Cricetulus griseus: one gene and its partners. Each later gene encodes a partner of the first gene's protein in a complex. Links are inferred from orthologs where the notes say so. Each region holds a gene or a part of one and is shown in the gene's direction. Other genes may lie near its edges. The genes, in order: Lage3, EKC/KEOPS complex subunit GON7-like, Tprkb and Osgep.

Region 1 (3,777 bases):
GCTATTCCAGAGGTCCTGAGTTCAATTCCCAGCAACAACATGGTGGCTCACAACCATCTATTATGAGATCTGGTGCCCTCTTCTGGTGTATAGGCAAACATGCAGACAGAACACTGTATATGTAATAAAAATAAGTAGATAATTTTTTCTTAAAAAAAAAGAGGGCTGGAAAGATGGCTCAGCGGTTAAGAGCACTGACTGTTCTTCCAGAGGTCCCGAGTTCAATTCCCAGCAACCACATGGTGGCTCACAACCATCTGTAATGAAATCTGGTGCCCTCTTCTGGCCTGTAGGCATACATGCAGGCAGAACACTATATACATAATAAATATACATAATAAATAAAATCTTTAAAAGAGCGAGAGCGAGAGAGAGAGAGAGAGAGAGAGAGAGAGAGAAGGCCCCAGTAACCACACAGAATGTGGTGGCATAGGGGCAAAAAAAAGGGGGGAACTGGAGCCACATCATACAGGGATCTTATAAACTACTGCAAAGCTTTGGTTTTTATTCCAAGTGCCACTAGAAAACGTTTCAGGGATTGTTGGTTGGTTGATTGTGATAATGGGAATGAAACCAGAACCTTGAAATGCCACATAAATGGTGTACCAAATAAATTCTATCCAATCCACCATGACCTTTTTTATTTTAAGAGTTTTAAAAATGTTTATGTGTATGAGTGTTTGGTCTGTATGTGTGTCTGTGTTTTTTGAGGGTTTTTTGGTTATTTTTTGTTTTTTGTTTTTAGAGGCAGGGTTTCTCTGTGGCTTTGAAGGCAGTCCTGGAACTAGCTCTTGTAGATCAGGCTGGTCTCAAACTCACAGAAATCCGCCTGCCTCTGCCTCCCGAGTGCTGGGATTGAAGGAGTGCACCACCAACGCCCAGCCCAATATACAGGGTTTTAAGCATTGATTTAATCTATACTAGAAATTAGACAGAGTGAGAAGAGTGAGTTGGGCATGGGTAGGATCAAGGAACATTGTACACATGTATGAAATTGTCAAAGAATAAGTAAAAGATATCTTAAATTTGCCAGGAGGTGAAGTTCAAAGCCAGCTTGTTATACAGAGCTAGTTCAAGGACAGCCAGGGCTAATACACAGAGAAGCCATGTTTCGAAAAATCAAGAAAAAGAAAAAGAAAGAAATTAGAAACTTTTGTGGGGGATATGCTGTAGACAAGAAGAAGATCAATCTCAGAGCTTTTGAAGGTGTGATGCAGAGAGAGAGGCTAGACAGATAGTTTAGTGATTAAGAGAACTTGCTGCTTTTGCAAAAGACCTGGGTTAAGTTCCCAGAACTCACATAAAAGTTTACAACCACCCATAATTCCAGTTCCAGTACCCACATGGACAACAGGCACTACACACATGTAAAAACAGGCAAAACATTTATACACATAAAATAAAAATAAATAAATCTTAAACCAGATGGTGGTGGCACACACCTTTAATCCCAGCACACTTGGCAGGCTTGTATCTGTGAGTTTCAGGACAGCCTGGATATCTCTCTCTCTCTCTGCATCCCGAGTGCTGGGACTAAAGGCATCTGCCACCAATGCCCGGCTCCTTAGATCCCTTTTAAAAAGAAACTGAAGGGAAAGCTGGATGTGGTATGGCACTTTGGAGGCTGAGGGAGACTAGATCAATCTCTTAGAGATCCCAACAGAGGCCTCCAGATGGGGACCGACCCAATTTAGCAACTTTGTCGCCCGCCCATTCCCGCAGGTGCATGTGGGATTGGCAGCCTGAGCGAGGGCGGAGCTTCCGGAGGATAAGGCGGGCTCTGGGCCGTAGCGATGGCGGAGGGTGGCTTGGAGGGTGGAGCAGCGGTAGACATGCAAGCAGCACACAGTTTAGGCCACACTGCAGATGGCGCCGATTCCCCGACCAGCTGCTGCTGTCCCGGTGATGCAGGCGCAGTGGCAGTTATTCCCAGTGGAGCTCACCCTGCTGCACGAGCATCGGAAGTCTCCGGTTGGAGCAAAAGCACTGTTCCTTTAACCCAAAGGCCGGGAATCCGACATCATAGATTGTATCCTACCGGACAGGGACAACTGGGTCACTTTAGGGATGCTTCAGGAGGGAAAAGGGGTAGTCTGGAGACGGGGGTGGGGTGGAGGGGAGCAGGGGGACCGGCTGATTGAGGTCTGTTAACCACGGGAGGTCTGGGCATGAGAAGATAACAGGGGGAGGGGAACCGGAGGGTGGAGGGAATGAACAGGAATTGCCCAAGCAATGTGCAAGATGTAGTCTGGGGAGCTTAGACCAGATGAGATGGTTTTAGAGGGCCAAGTAGGCGAAAACGATTCAACATGGTGCCTTTCCTGAGTCTCTACCAGTGCCCTTACAGTGCCTTTCCCGACCTCTTTGGAGGCAGAAATCGCCTGTGGGTCCCTAGCTCCTGATGCCGAACCGCACCGAGGAATCTTGGGGAAAGACCTTAAAGTCAGCGGCTGCATGCTGGAGGTGTAAGTGCTGAAAGAGTCTGGCATGCTGGGTAGGTGGCTGGACTATTCTCTACCCAAGACTGCACTTCCTTAGAGACAGCACACTAGGGTGACTTCTAAGAAGACTCTTGGTGCAGTGGACCAGTCTTTACCTGCAGGATATGGTACAGTGGGAGCCTGAGGGAAGATCCAGAAAGGTAGGAGCCAGGAGGCAGAGGCAGACAGATTTCTGTGAATTCCAGGCCAGCCAGGGCTACATCGTGAGATTCTCTCTCTTTCCAAAATAAATAAGGAAAGAAGGATAAGAATTACTATTTTAAACTTAATATTCTTTTTCCTCACTCTTAGACACTGGATCTCAGAAGACTCTCGCCTCCTCCGAATTTCCATCATGAACTTTCTTGACCAGCTCGCCCTAGTGGTGAACACCATAAAGCGCTTTGGGCCCCCAGTTTCTCGTTAAGCCTGCCTGGGAAAAGGGGCTCAGATCTGACCTTATGTCGGTTCCCTCCAAAGCAGACAATTTTCTGGAAAACATTCCAGAAATAGTACCTGCTACTTAAATGTGGGGCCTAATATTTTTTTGCCTGACTTGGTCCTCAGGCACTTAGGGGCCACTTGTTTAGTTTGGTGCTCAAATGTTGCTGAAGAAAATAAAGCTGTGCTTCTAATCTGTATTTGAGTATTTTCAACCTCAAGATTTTCTTTGTGTTGGAGGAGAGGTATTTGTTGTATAAAATAAGAGTATTCACCTAATGTTGTGAGGTCCTTGATTCAATCCTCAGCAGTGAAAAACTACATTAGTAGAAAGTAGAAGAAGACAATTACAGAAATAGAGGAAAATTAAAAACACAAGCACCCTGTCATTTGGGGCTCACTTTGGGAAACTTTTGGTATTAGAATTTTATCAATATAATAAATGTGTAGCAATATCATGAGGCCCCTCTTCTGAGGAGATATTGGCAGTTTATGGCTGCTGGGGAAATGGAGTTGTTTTTCTTCAGTAGTGTAACCACTGTTAAGTTGCTCATAATTCTGTAAATAACCCCACATCCATGATCATGCAAGCAACCCTAATTAAATTCAGTGAGGCACTAATGAAAGACATGAAAATGGAGATGTAATTGTTAAGAAGAAGGGGTTGAATAGAGGATAAGAAAGGACAATAGGGGATGGATATATTCAAAATATATACATTGTAAACATGTATGAAATTGTCAAAGAATACTTTTTTGTGTCATTATGTAACCCTGGCAGTCCTGAGACTTGCTCTGTGGACCAGGCTGGCCTCAAACTCATAGAGATCAGCCTGCCTCTGCAAGGTGTGTACCAC
Region 2 (4,519 bases), on another chromosome or scaffold:
GCGACTATTTCTGGGATACAAGATTTAATTCCACAACCCAACAATTTTGCAGTGCAAACCCAAGTTGGTTAACGAAGACAAATAGCATTATGACTTTAGTCCACACCACACAGTAACTCCAAGTTCTTTCCCTCCTTCCCCAGTCTTCCACTCCACCCACGGGCATAGCTAGCTTGCTTCCTTCCACCAATTCTCATCCTGTTGGTGCCTTCCTACCCACCCTTCTCCACTTTTGTACTTAGATGTACGGGATGCGTCACTAAACCCTACATCACCGGCCCTCAAACAACTCTTGTTTACAAGGTCGCACAGGCGCCAAGCAGATCCTTTCCTCCTCTCTCGGCTTTCCAGGGTCACATGATGTTTTGGTTCCGATCTACTCCGGAGGGAGAAGGGGTGTCTGTCACACAACACATACACTCGGAACTTTACCGGGAAGGAAAAAAGAAAGAAAGAAACCAGCTAGCAGTTAAACTAGACTGCACGGGCACATTTTTCAAATCCAGCCCACTTCCCTTTAGCTCTGCTCACCCTCCCCCCCCCACCTGGTGCCCAATTAAGCTTCTTTAAGAGTGGAAGGAGTGGGGCGAAGAATATCGGGGTGGTTTGAGAAGTCACGAGGACGAGCTCGTGGAAAGCAGGCCACCAAGAGGCGACAACGAGGAGGGCAGAGCTGCTCCTGCTGCTGCTGCTGCTGCTGCTCGGGGACCGGAGCCTGCAGAGAGCCTCGGGCAGGGCGGAGGGAGAGCCCTGCTGGCGACAAGCTGAGGATCAAAGGGCCGCAGGGCCGGCCGGGGCTGTGGAAGCCCGGGGTGAAGGGCAGCCCTGGAGCCGGGGCGGCCGCCGCCGCCGCCGCCGCCGCCGCGGGCGGGAAGCAGCAGAACGGCGGGTGCAGCGGGCCGCGCGCACCTGCGAGTAGGAGCACTTCTCCGAGTCGCTGGCGCCCAGGACGGCGCACGCCTCGTTCTCCAGCTCCTCGTCCTCCTCAAGCACGTCCACCAGCGACACCACGGGCTCCAGCTCCGCCGGGCAGCCGGCGGGGCTCTCCGCTCCGGCCATCCTCAACTGTCACAGCGCTCCGCGGCGCGGCCCAGGCGGAGGCGGGAAAAGGGACCGCCTGCGGGGGGGGCGTCGCGAGGAGGCGGGGCCTGATCGTCAGGCAGCCAATGGTAAAGGTGGAGATGGAAGAAAATGGGCGGGGCGGGTGCCGGGAGTCGGAAGTCATGCCTTTTACCCGTCTCTCCCGCCCGCGCCGGCCCGCGGGGTGGCTTCCGCTTCCGGGTGGCGGTTCTCTGTGGCGCGCCGTTGAAGCGAAGGGGTCGCCATGGAGCTGACGGGCGAGTACGTCGGGTGTGACGGCGAGCCCCGGCGGCTGCAAGTGTCCTGTGAGGCGTCGGGCGACGCGGACCCTCTCCAGAGCCTGTCGGCGGGTGTGGCCCGGATGAGGGAGCTGGTAGCCGAGTTCTTCGGGCCCCTCGTGGAGCAGCGGGACGCGCAGGGCGTGACGGCAGATCCGGAGGACGCCGAGGAGGGTGAGCGCGGGGCGCCGGGGTCTCCGGCTGTGTGAGGGAAGGGCTGGCAGCCTTGGCACAGCGAGTCTGGCCGGCCGGCCGGCGCGGGCGAGCAGGAAGGCTCGCATCTGAAAACGGTTGGCCCTCTCTGCCCCGCGTTTTCCACGACTCTTCCTTCACCTCAGCCAGAAGAGCGTGGCGAGCGTTTGCCTGGGGGCTGGACAGGGAGCCGGGTCAGCCCGACGCCTCCCGTCTTGCGGGGCGCGGAGGACTGAGACCCGCAGAGTGGAGCCTGGGGGCGTGGGGGGTGGGCTGGGCTGGGGGTCTGCAGTCGCTGCTAGCTGGAAGGAAGACCTAAGGGGCGGCCCGTGGCGCCAGTGGGGGGGAGTCTTCCCCAGGTGTGAAATTAGAAACCTGTTTGGCACAGCGGGCACAGCTTCGGAAGGTCGAGACCGACTGTGTCGTGGGGAGTCTTAACCCTCAGAGGGTCCTTTCTCGAGTCTGTTTTTGAAAGTATAAGGGGGTTTCGGTTTTGCTGTGTGGGTGTGGGTGTGTGTTTTAAAGTCACCGATAGTCTCATGCGTGCATGTAATGCGCTGTGGTCATTTTCTCCTTCTCTTTCGTCCCCTGCTTGAACCATTCCCGATGACACACACACACACACACACACACACACTCACACATACACACACACACACACACACACACACACACACACACACACACACACGCCGCTTTCTTTTCTGCCTTCCTTTTTGTTGTCTCTCACTGAGTTTAAGGTTCTTTGTATGAGAAGGGGTGGATGGTTATTTACTGGAGCAAGGGCAACTCAGCGGTGACTACACCACAGAAGAAAACGTCAGCTCCTCCCCCAGCACCCATTAACTGTCAAAAACTCCTCCGGGCGGGATGGGACCCAATGAGCCCCTGTTGAGGTTGCCGTCTCGTTCAGGTAACCACAGTTGTTGCCCCTGTGTCCGAGCCATGTCATGGTCAAAAGAAAGTTTCACCACAGCCATTCCCTTCCTCTAGCCCCTACTATCATTCACCCCCTCTACTGTTGTAGAAATAAACTGTTAGTTTTTTGGGTTTTGGTTTTTTTTTTAACAAGGTGGATGTTTTGCCTGCCGCTTACTTGTGTCTGTGCACCACTGCTCTATGCAGTGTGCTCCGAGGCCAGAAGAGGGCATCAGAACCCCTGCAGGCAGTGGTCTTAACCACTGATCTCTCCAGCCCCAACTCTGTTAATAGAAGAAAAAAAAAAATTGTAGACAGTGTCACAGGGTACCACTGGTTGGCCTTGGATTAGACCAGGTTGACTTTGAATTCGCAGAGATCTGCCTGCCTCTGCCTCATCAGTGCTGGAATTAAAGACATGCACCACCAAACCTGACCTTTGTTAAATTTTATTTTTAATCTTGAACACAAAAGAGATTTCATTACTCTGAGCTAAGGAGTCAGTTCTTCTACAGAGGAGATTAAACTGTACTGTTCTTTATAATAGGGTTATTGACTGTCATTAAGAAGAACAGTAAGTAAAATCTGGGGATGGTTGTGGTGCACACCTTTAATCCCAGCATTCGGGAGGCAGAGGCAGGCTGTGAGTTAAAGGCTAGCCTGCTCTACTGAACGAGTTCTAGGACAGCTAGGGTTACATAGAGAAATCCTGTCTTGAAATAATAATAATATTATTATTTAATAATAATAATTTAAAATAATAATAATAAAGTATTAGCTAGGTGCATTGGTCAGGGTTCTCTAAAGAAGCAAAACCTATTGATAGAATATCTTTGTTAGAGTGCCCTTACAGCCTGTGGTCTGAATAGTCCAACAGTGGCTTTCTCCTTACAGAAACACCAAGGATCCAGTAATTGTTCAGTCTCTGAGACTGGATGCCTCAGCATTCCTAATCTGGTGCTGGAGTCCCAGCAAAGTAGGTTATAACACCAGCAAAGAGGTGTCTCAGGAATAGATAGATGAACTTGCTAGTCAGAGTAAGGGCAAGCAGGCAAAAACTATAGTACCCCAGTTACACCACTAGTTCTCCAAAGTTAATTGGAAATATGTTTATACCAAAACTCAATAATTGTAGTAGCACTGTTCATTAATAGCTGTGAAATCAAAATAATACAACTGCCCATCACCAGAGTAAAACATGAGCATTCTTTTAATTGTTGAATAGTATTCATTGTGTAGAATAAAGTATTTGGCTGGGGAGATTGCTCAGTGGGTAGAGCTGCACAAGCATGGGATTGTGAGTTTGGCTTCAAGAACCCATGTACTGCCATGTGCCCATAATCCTAGTGCTCCCTGCTCCCTGCTCCCTGCAGTGAGTTAGGGAATAGAGCCAGGAAGCATAGTGTATGCAAAGATACATTACCCCCCCCCTTTTTTTGTTTGTTTGTTTGTTTTTTAGGGGGGATCAAGACAGGGTTTCCCTGAGTAGCATTGGCTGTCCTAGAACTCACTCTGTAGACCAGGCTGGCCTTGAATCAGAGAGCCAGCTGTCTCTGCCTCCCAAGTACTGGGACTGCAGGTGTGCACCGCCACCACCCAGCTGAGATGCTTTCTTAAAGTGGAAGGTAAAGACCTACAATGAGTTTGTGACCTCTGTGTGTGCTATGGTTTGTGCATACACATCACATATACACACAGAGGAGTGAAGTGTGGATCCATGCTACAACAGTAATGAATTCTAAAACAGTAAGTCTGGCACAAATGGCTACACATTCTATGTTTCTTTCCATTTATATGAGATGTCTAAAATAGGCACATCCATAAAGGTAGAAAGTAAATTAGTAGTTCTAAGAATGAGAGGAACAAATTTTGGAAGTAATTAACATATTTCAGAATTAGTGGTGATGGTTAGGGAGCAAGTGAATATTCTTTTTTCCCCCTTGGTTTTCCAAGACCCTGATTCTCTTTATAACAGTTCTGGCTGTCCTGGAATTCACTCTGTAGATCAGGCTGGCCTCAAACTCACAGAAATCTGTCTGGCTGTTTCCCAA
Region 3 (3,175 bases), on another chromosome or scaffold:
ATAATGTTTGATGTTGCAGCAGCCGTTGAGGCCATAGTTTAAAATACCGCCCATAGGAATGAATGGAGAACAGATAAACAGCTGGACTAGAGTTACATCAGGAGGGCACCTGGTTCAGGAAGCTCCTGATTCTCCATGTGCTAATCTCTGTTTTCTCTCTGGTAGATCATCGATCCATTTCAGATACTTGTGGCAGCAAACAAAGCTGTTCATCTCCACAAACTGGGAAAAATGAAGACAAGGACTCTGTCTACTGAAATTATCTTCAACCTCTCCCCAAATAACAATGTAATGTGGTGACTGACTTTATTTCTGTTGGTCTTGTCATTGTAGAATGTGCCCTCCCCCCTGTGTAGCAGTGGGGGCCGGGTTCCTCCAAGCCAGCTGTTAGTACTAAGCCAAAATAGTTTCATAGAGAGGTCTAGACAGCCATTTAGTACTGCAAGTAGCTGTGGAGTCAGTTTCCTGGTCAAAGGTTAAAATACTTGAGGATGGTATTATCTGCAATGCCCATATTATGTTAAGTAGACCCCTGAGCAATTTTGCTTAAGAAACTGGAAGAAACCCACACTATAAAACATGAGGTATAGATACATTTTGTGTCAGTCTCCCTGTAAACTCCTAGAGATGGGCTGTGTGTCTTTTTTTTATAGTCAGTACCTGGAACTTTCTGTGACCTGGTAGAGCAGTTGATGCCTGCTCACTCACACACCCAGGGCATAGAAAAATTCATGGTTTGAAACCTTCATAGGAATGCAAACCCCCCCCCCCACCTCCCAGGTTTGGGTGTGTGCTTGAATGTGTGTGTGTGTGTGTGTGTGTGTGTGTGTGTGTGTGTGTGTGTGTATGTGTGTGTTGTATGTGTGTGTATATGTGGTTGTGGTACACAGATTCATGTGTGGGAGTGTGGGGGCCTGAGTATTACAACATGATTGTGAAGGTCTAAAGGACAACCTCAGATGGTCCTTGCCTTCTACCTTTTCCAGACAAAGTCTCTTTGTTTTTCACCACTGGGTACACCTGGGCTTCAAGCTTCTTGGATTCTTCTGTCTCCACCTCCTATCTTGCTGTACCAGCACTGGGGTTATAGACCATTGCTGTTGTACCTGACTTTTCATGGGCTAGGGATTTGAACCAAGATCCTCACACTGGCTTGACAACTGCTTTACCCACTGAGCCATCTCCCCATCCCAGGAGTGCTTATTAAATGGGAGTTGTTGAGGTGATGACATTCTGTGTGTGACATGGAAAAAGATGCCTGACCTCAGCTGATGAGGTCCCAGTATTACTGCTGCTATTAGTAACAGCCAGGTACTAATATCAAAGGGAAGATTTGGAACCATATGGCAAGAATTAAATCACACTTGGTTGCAAAGTTTATAAAATGCAGTCAGCATGGCAACAGAATCCCCCATTAATAGAACCATTGGAAATAATTGAAGACACCATTCCTGATCAAGACGAAGTTCTAGGGACAGAAGAGACAAGTGTGATAGCAGTTGCTGGAAAGGGATTGTAGAAGGGGAAAGTATGCTCTGAGAAACAGGGAGGCTGACGAGCAGGTCAGAAGTATTCCAGACAGAAGACACTGACTCATTTGCCTTTTTTTTTTTTTTTAATCATAGATTTCAGAGGCTTTGAAGAAATTTGGTATCTCGGAAAGTGCCACTTCAGTTCTCATTGTTTACACTGAAGAGGGAGAGAAACAAATAAACCAAGAACACCTAGTATCTCAAGTGGAAGGCCAACAGGTTCCTTTGGAATGTCTTCCAGAAATAACAAAGCTCTCAGAAGTCAAAAAGGTTTGTAATACACGTTTTTTAAGAGTTCAGTAGTTGAATTATACTGATGCTTTTTGTTCATCACTGTTAAAAATTTTGAACTATTCCATTAACTTTAGTTAGCATACAAGATAATGGTTTCATTACCTTTTCACAAATCCTATTACTGCTTTTACTCATATCTGCCTCCTCTCATATTCCCAATATCCTTTGAACTTTTAAGTAATAGTATGGGCCTGGAGAGTTGACATAGCAGTTAAGAGTCAGCAGTTATTCCAGAGGACCTGGGTCTGATTCCAAGTCCGTTCATAACCATCTGTAATTCCAGTTCCAGGGAATCCGATGCCTGCTCCTGGCCTTCGTTGGAACTGCACACACATAGTACACATATATAGAGGCCAAACACCCTTACAAGTAAAATCAAGAGAGGTTTAGAAATATTAAAATAATTTTGCAGATACTTCATAAAAGAAAAGAACTGGGACCTACAAGTTTGTGGAATGTAATTTGGAATAGAGTCACAGAACTGTAAGAAAAGGGATCTCTTTCAACATTCAGTGACTGTGTGAGTTGATATCTACATGTGTACTCAAAACTGATACAAATGGGATTTGTGTGTTCAAGAAATTTGTTTTTTTATATTAATACTTACACTTAAAAAGGATATTTGACATGTGTGGCAAATAACCACCTGCTTTGAACACTTTAAACATTGTGAATGAAACCATTAATGCCATAATAAAATGGTAATGCCACGTGGTAATGTATATGTAATAACCGTGTATGGACTTGCCAGCACTCATAGATTGTCATTCACTTTTACAGATATATAAACTGTCATCACAAGAAGAGAGTATCGGGACATTATTGGATGGTATCATTTGTAGGATGTCAACAAAGGATGTTTTATAAGATGCCCAAAACATCAACAGAAAAATCTGAGTTAATCACCAGCTGTTTTTTTCCTGGTTATAAAATTAACATATCACTGAAAATGGGAAAAAGAAACCACTACTAGCCCTATTTTGTTTTCACTTCTTAAAGACAGAACACTGTCGCTGTTTTTGTCATTGTCTTCTAGTCTTCTGTTTGTATTGGAATAAAGTTTATTATTGTACAATTGGAATAAAAAAGTGCAAGCATGTAGATGGGCGTCGGTGGCTCACACCTGCAGTCCAAGCACTCGGGTGGCAGAAACAGGCGGATCTCTGTGAGTTCAAGGACAGCCTGGTCCACTGCTTGAGTTCCAGGACAGTCTGTCTCCACAGCTACCGAGATACCCTGTCTCAAAAAAACCAAAAAGAAAAGACAGTGCAAGCACCTAGTGAAGGCTACAGTGTTCAAGGCTCTTCCTCAGTAATTGATCCACCAGTTTGCATCTCGCCTCGTGCTGC
Region 4 (3,418 bases), on another chromosome or scaffold:
CATTCACTCATAATAGGTGCTAGATAGATTATGTAGCAGGTACTGTATACCTTCTGTGTACCGGGCACTACATATTATAGGGAAAACAGTTCCTCCCTACATGGGAAAAAGGCTTGAAAATAAAAATTAACAAAAGAAGATGATGTGGGGTGCAGCACTCCTATAATGTCAGTTGTAATGAAGTCAGCTATCCTTTCAAGTGCAGGAATTTTTGTTTTCATGAAAGCCTCATGTCGGTATTCATCCTTTGGGTTGTCTCCCCCCCTTTAATTGCAGGATGTAGCGCAGAAAATGCTGGCCACAGGGGAATGTACTCCTGAAGACCTGTGTTTCTCCTTACAGGTAAAAGAGTGAAAAGCTGGGATGCAAAACTTAGTCTAGAGTAGAGCTGAACTAAGGTGGGATGCTGCTCTGATGTCTCCCCCTTGTCTGTCTTCCACAGGAAACTGTGTTTGCAATGCTAGTGGAGATCACAGAGCGAGCCATGGCACACTGTGGCTCCAAGGAAGCCCTCATCGTAGGAGGAGTTGGATGTATGTGTCACTGGGCAGTGTGCCTTCCTCCTAGTCCTGAGAGTCATTTTCCTGAAACGCTACATTACCAGAGTTTGGAGGGTTACCTGTTTCATCTCTTTAACTGTTTCACAACCCTCTTCCCTAGTCTTCTGGTAAACTGTCCTGGGAGCACAACTGGTTTGATAGCAAAATGGCCAAATCTAAGTTATCTGTGGTTCCTGTGTCTTCATAGGTAACGTGAGACTGCAGGAGATGATGGCAGCAATGTGCCAGGAGCGGGGAGCCCAGCTCTTTGCCACAGATGAGAGGTGAAGTCCTTCTCTTTGTCTTGAGTTCTTCTGTTCCCATCATTACGGTTTTTCTATGTTTAGGCCACAAGTCTTGTTACTGCTTCTTCCCCAGATTCTGCATTGACAATGGAGCCATGATAGCCCAAGCAGGTTGGGAGATGTTTCAAGCTGGACATAGGACCCCTCTCAGAGAGTCTGGAATTACACAGAGGTGAGTGACATCCTCCTTTGAGAAAGTAGATAGTAGGTACAGGAGACAGGTAGAAATTAACAGGTAGAAAAGTCAAAGAACAGATAAAGCTGTAGGTGATGGGTTTGGTGGCATGTACCTGTAATCCCAATATGTGGGGGCCAGGGCAGGAGGATTTTTATTTTGAGATAAGCCTGGGCTACAGATGCTGTCTCAAAAACAAAACAACAAAAAATGGCGCAAACAGGTAGTCACAGGGTTTTTCCTGCTTTCCACAGGTACAGGACAGATGAAGTAGAAGTGACGTGGAGGGACTAACAACACTAACAGGACCAGAATAGCTTGCCAAGTGGAGTGCTGATGTGGGAGTGAATCTTGGTGATACTATGGACTCTTCTCCTCTCTGGCTAGTGTATGGACCCCACACAAGGCTTAGGGTTCCTGTGGAACCCCAAGATGACTCTGAAATAAAGAGATTGTTTTTGTACGTTGACAACTGGATTGTGTTTTTTAGGACCAATAACAGAGTGAGTGCTGGGTAAATTCTTACTGGTGAGGTCAGTGGACAAGCTGGTGAGGGTCAGAGTAGCACTTGGTTGATGGTGCAGATAGTTTTGACGATTGCCACTTGGAGAAAGTCGTGGGTGCTGTCCTTCTATCCCTTTAACAATAGTCTCCTAACTAATAGTGTTTTAGTGTCATGTCCTGTGCCGAGGCCTCTACACTTAACAAACTGTGTTCACATTCATTGAAGGGGTATTCAGGATATCCCTTAAAAAGACCTGGAAATAGATCCAATTCATAACTTTACTAAAACTCCTGTCCTTCCTAAACTTCATTTAATGTACTCCTTCAAACACTTCACTGGCCAGTATCTGGGAGGCACCCGAGATGTACAACACCTCAGCACCAATACAAGCATCAGAACTGTAGATATCATGCCATATATAGTGCCACAAGAGGTCCTGAACTACCAAGCTCCTCTTTAGCCTCTGGCAGCCAGGTGCTTTGCCATCTTTTTTTTTTTTTTTTTTTTTTTGTCCCACTTCCAAACTCCTGAAACTTATCAGCCATTTGTAAAATCCATATATCCTCACCCTCTTTTTCAAATGTTGTCTTCACAGCGTTGCGCTGAGACCTAGTTTTTCGGAAAGACTGCTTCTCTTAACGCCTGGTGGTGAGTCTTTCACATCCATGTACCGCTGGGCATGGAGGTGGTGCAGCATCTCTTCTTTCTTTCCCTCCTCTGTCTCTTTGAGACAGGGCCTCTCTATGTAGCCCTGCCTGGTTTGGAGTTTGATGTGTAGACTAGACTGGCCCCAATCTCACGGAGATCCACCTGCCCCTGCCTTCTGAGTGCTGGGAGAAAGGTGTGCACCGCCACGCCCCACCTCTTGCAACGCACTGTTCCATAACTCAGTCTCATCCCGTTCTTCTGCCACAATCTGGCTCTTCAGGTTATTATGTGGAATCCATCCCTTTTCCAGGACCTGAAACCCTTTGATCTTACTTCCTTTCTACATTGTTTGCTATCCTCAGTTAAATTCCAATAATAAACACCTTGCTGCAGATGCTTTGTCTGCCTTTGCCATTTTTATTTTAAAAACAAAACAAACAAACAACAACAACAAAAAAAAAAAAACAGGATCTCATCAAGCTCAGGCTGGCCTTGAACAAACTAGCATAGGATGACCTCATCTATGTCTGCCTCCCAAGCGTTGGGTTACAGGTGTACCTTACCACACCCAATTTATACAGTATTAGGGACTGAACCTCTGGATGGAGCTGCATCCCTAGCCGCCATTCTACTTCTACACACATCACCTGCTTTATACCTACGTCTGTGCAGCCAAAAGTGCAAGTGAGAGAGCCGTGCTGGCTGCTGCAGCCCCCTGATAACAATGCAACTGAAGGCAGTCAGTCCTTCCTGCATCTCCCTCATTATCTTCTTAACCCTCCCACTCGCTGTCCTTGATAACTTCCGGATCTCCTGATCCTCAGATCCCCAACATATCTCTCCCTGTACACGTCACCTTTGTCTCTTAGTTGCCTCTCAACTATTTTTTATATATTGTATATATTTCAACATTTTGAACTATTTTGCTAAGTTAAGTTACGCTATTGCTGTCAAGAGACAGTACACTGTGACCAAAAGAAAGCATTTAATTGGTGTTCTCTGTTCCCAAAGGTAATAAAGTCCGTGGCTGTCACGGCAGTCACCACTAGCTAAGAGCTTACATCCTGATCTACAACTTAGAGGCAGAGAGAGAGCTAACTGGGAATAGTGTGGACTTTTGTAACTTCAGAGCCCACCCCTAGTGACACATCTCCCAATCTTCCCCAAACAGTCCCACCAACGGGGGATCAAGCATTCAAGTATGTGATCTTGTGGGGGTCATTCTCACTCTAACCACACCTTGGTT

The links.
Region 2: the proteins of Lage3 (region 1) and EKC/KEOPS complex subunit GON7-like are in contact, whole or in part, in a crystal structure (PDB 6GWJ), measured with the Homo sapiens proteins. The link is inferred for Cricetulus griseus from reciprocal best matches to the Homo sapiens genes LAGE3 and GON7. Residues at the interface, in NP_006005.2 of Homo sapiens: Pro60, His61, Ile62, Phe63, Thr64, Leu65, Ser66, Val67, Pro68, Phe69, Pro70, Glu74, Arg102, Ile103, Glu111, Cys113, Leu116, Arg117, Val120, Ile121, Leu124, Asp125, Leu127, Ser128, Val131, Arg132, Met134, Gln135; in NP_115879.2 of Homo sapiens: Met1, Glu2, Leu3, Leu4, Gly5, Glu6, Tyr7, Val8, Gly9, Gln10, Leu17, Asp28, Pro29, Phe30, Gln31, Leu33, Leu34, Val37, Met40, Lys41, Val44, Thr45, Leu47, Phe48, Asp49.
Region 3: Lage3 (region 1) and Tprkb share a complex: the UniProt entries of both Homo sapiens proteins name them as parts of the EKC/KEOPS complex. The link is inferred for Cricetulus griseus from reciprocal best matches to the Homo sapiens genes LAGE3 and TPRKB.
Region 4: the proteins of Lage3 (region 1) and Osgep are in contact, whole or in part, in a crystal structure (PDB 6GWJ), measured with the Homo sapiens proteins. The link is inferred for Cricetulus griseus from reciprocal best matches to the Homo sapiens genes LAGE3 and OSGEP. Residues at the interface, in NP_006005.2 of Homo sapiens: Glu76, Ile77, Gly80, Ser81, Leu82, Pro84, Asp85, Asp125, Gln126, Leu129, Val130, Arg132, Thr133, Met134, Arg136, Phe137, Gly138, Pro139, Pro140, Val141, Arg143; in NP_060277.1 of Homo sapiens: Arg50, Ile53, Leu54, Asp55, Leu57, Gln58, Leu61, Gln69, Ala84, Val87, Ser88, Val91, Val92, Arg94, Thr95, Val96, Gln98, Leu99, Trp100, Asn101, Leu315, Ser318, Gly319, Val320.

Annotation. Positions count from the first base shown.
Region 1 is NC_048604.1:1,362,259-1,366,035, forward strand, and holds Lage3 (EKC/KEOPS complex subunit LAGE3), read left to right. Parts: upstream 1-1,759; 5' UTR 1,760-1,793; coding exon 1,794-2,029; intron 2,030-2,336; coding exon 2,337-2,465; intron 2,466-2,792; coding exon 2,793-2,907; 3' UTR 2,908-3,121; downstream 3,122-3,777. UniProt on the Homo sapiens protein: Component of the EKC/KEOPS complex that is required for the formation of a threonylcarbamoyl group on adenosine at position 37 (t(6)A37) in tRNAs that read codons beginning with adenine.
Region 2 is NC_048598.1:103,312,685-103,317,203, forward strand, and holds the start of EKC/KEOPS complex subunit GON7-like, read left to right. Parts: upstream 1-1,262; 5' UTR 1,263-1,324; coding exon 1,325-1,532; intron 1,533-4,519. Other genes in the region: putative E3 ubiquitin-protein ligase UBR7, read right to left, coding at 910-1,059. UniProt on the Homo sapiens protein: Component of the EKC/KEOPS complex that is required for the formation of a threonylcarbamoyl group on adenosine at position 37 (t(6)A37) in tRNAs that read codons beginning with adenine.
Region 3 is NC_048601.1:74,424,706-74,427,880, forward strand, and holds the end of Tprkb (EKC/KEOPS complex subunit TPRKB), read left to right. Parts: intron 1-165; coding exon 166-288; intron 289-1,625; coding exon 1,626-1,802; intron 1,803-2,238; coding exon 2,239-2,313; 3' UTR 2,314-2,328; downstream 2,329-3,175. UniProt on the Homo sapiens protein: Component of the EKC/KEOPS complex that is required for the formation of a threonylcarbamoyl group on adenosine at position 37 (t(6)A37) in tRNAs that read codons beginning with adenine.
Region 4 is NW_023276807.1:206,591,857-206,595,274, reverse strand, and holds the end of Osgep (probable tRNA N6-adenosine threonylcarbamoyltransferase), read left to right. Parts: intron 1-276; coding exon 277-342; intron 343-442; coding exon 443-533; intron 534-747; coding exon 748-823; intron 824-917; coding exon 918-1,016; intron 1,017-1,273; coding exon of another isoform or gene 1,274-1,313; exon of another isoform or gene 1,314-1,491; intron 1,492-2,119; coding exon 2,120-2,273; 3' UTR 2,274-2,566; downstream 2,567-3,418. UniProt on the Homo sapiens protein: Component of the EKC/KEOPS complex that is required for the formation of a threonylcarbamoyl group on adenosine at position 37 (t(6)A37) in tRNAs that read codons beginning with adenine.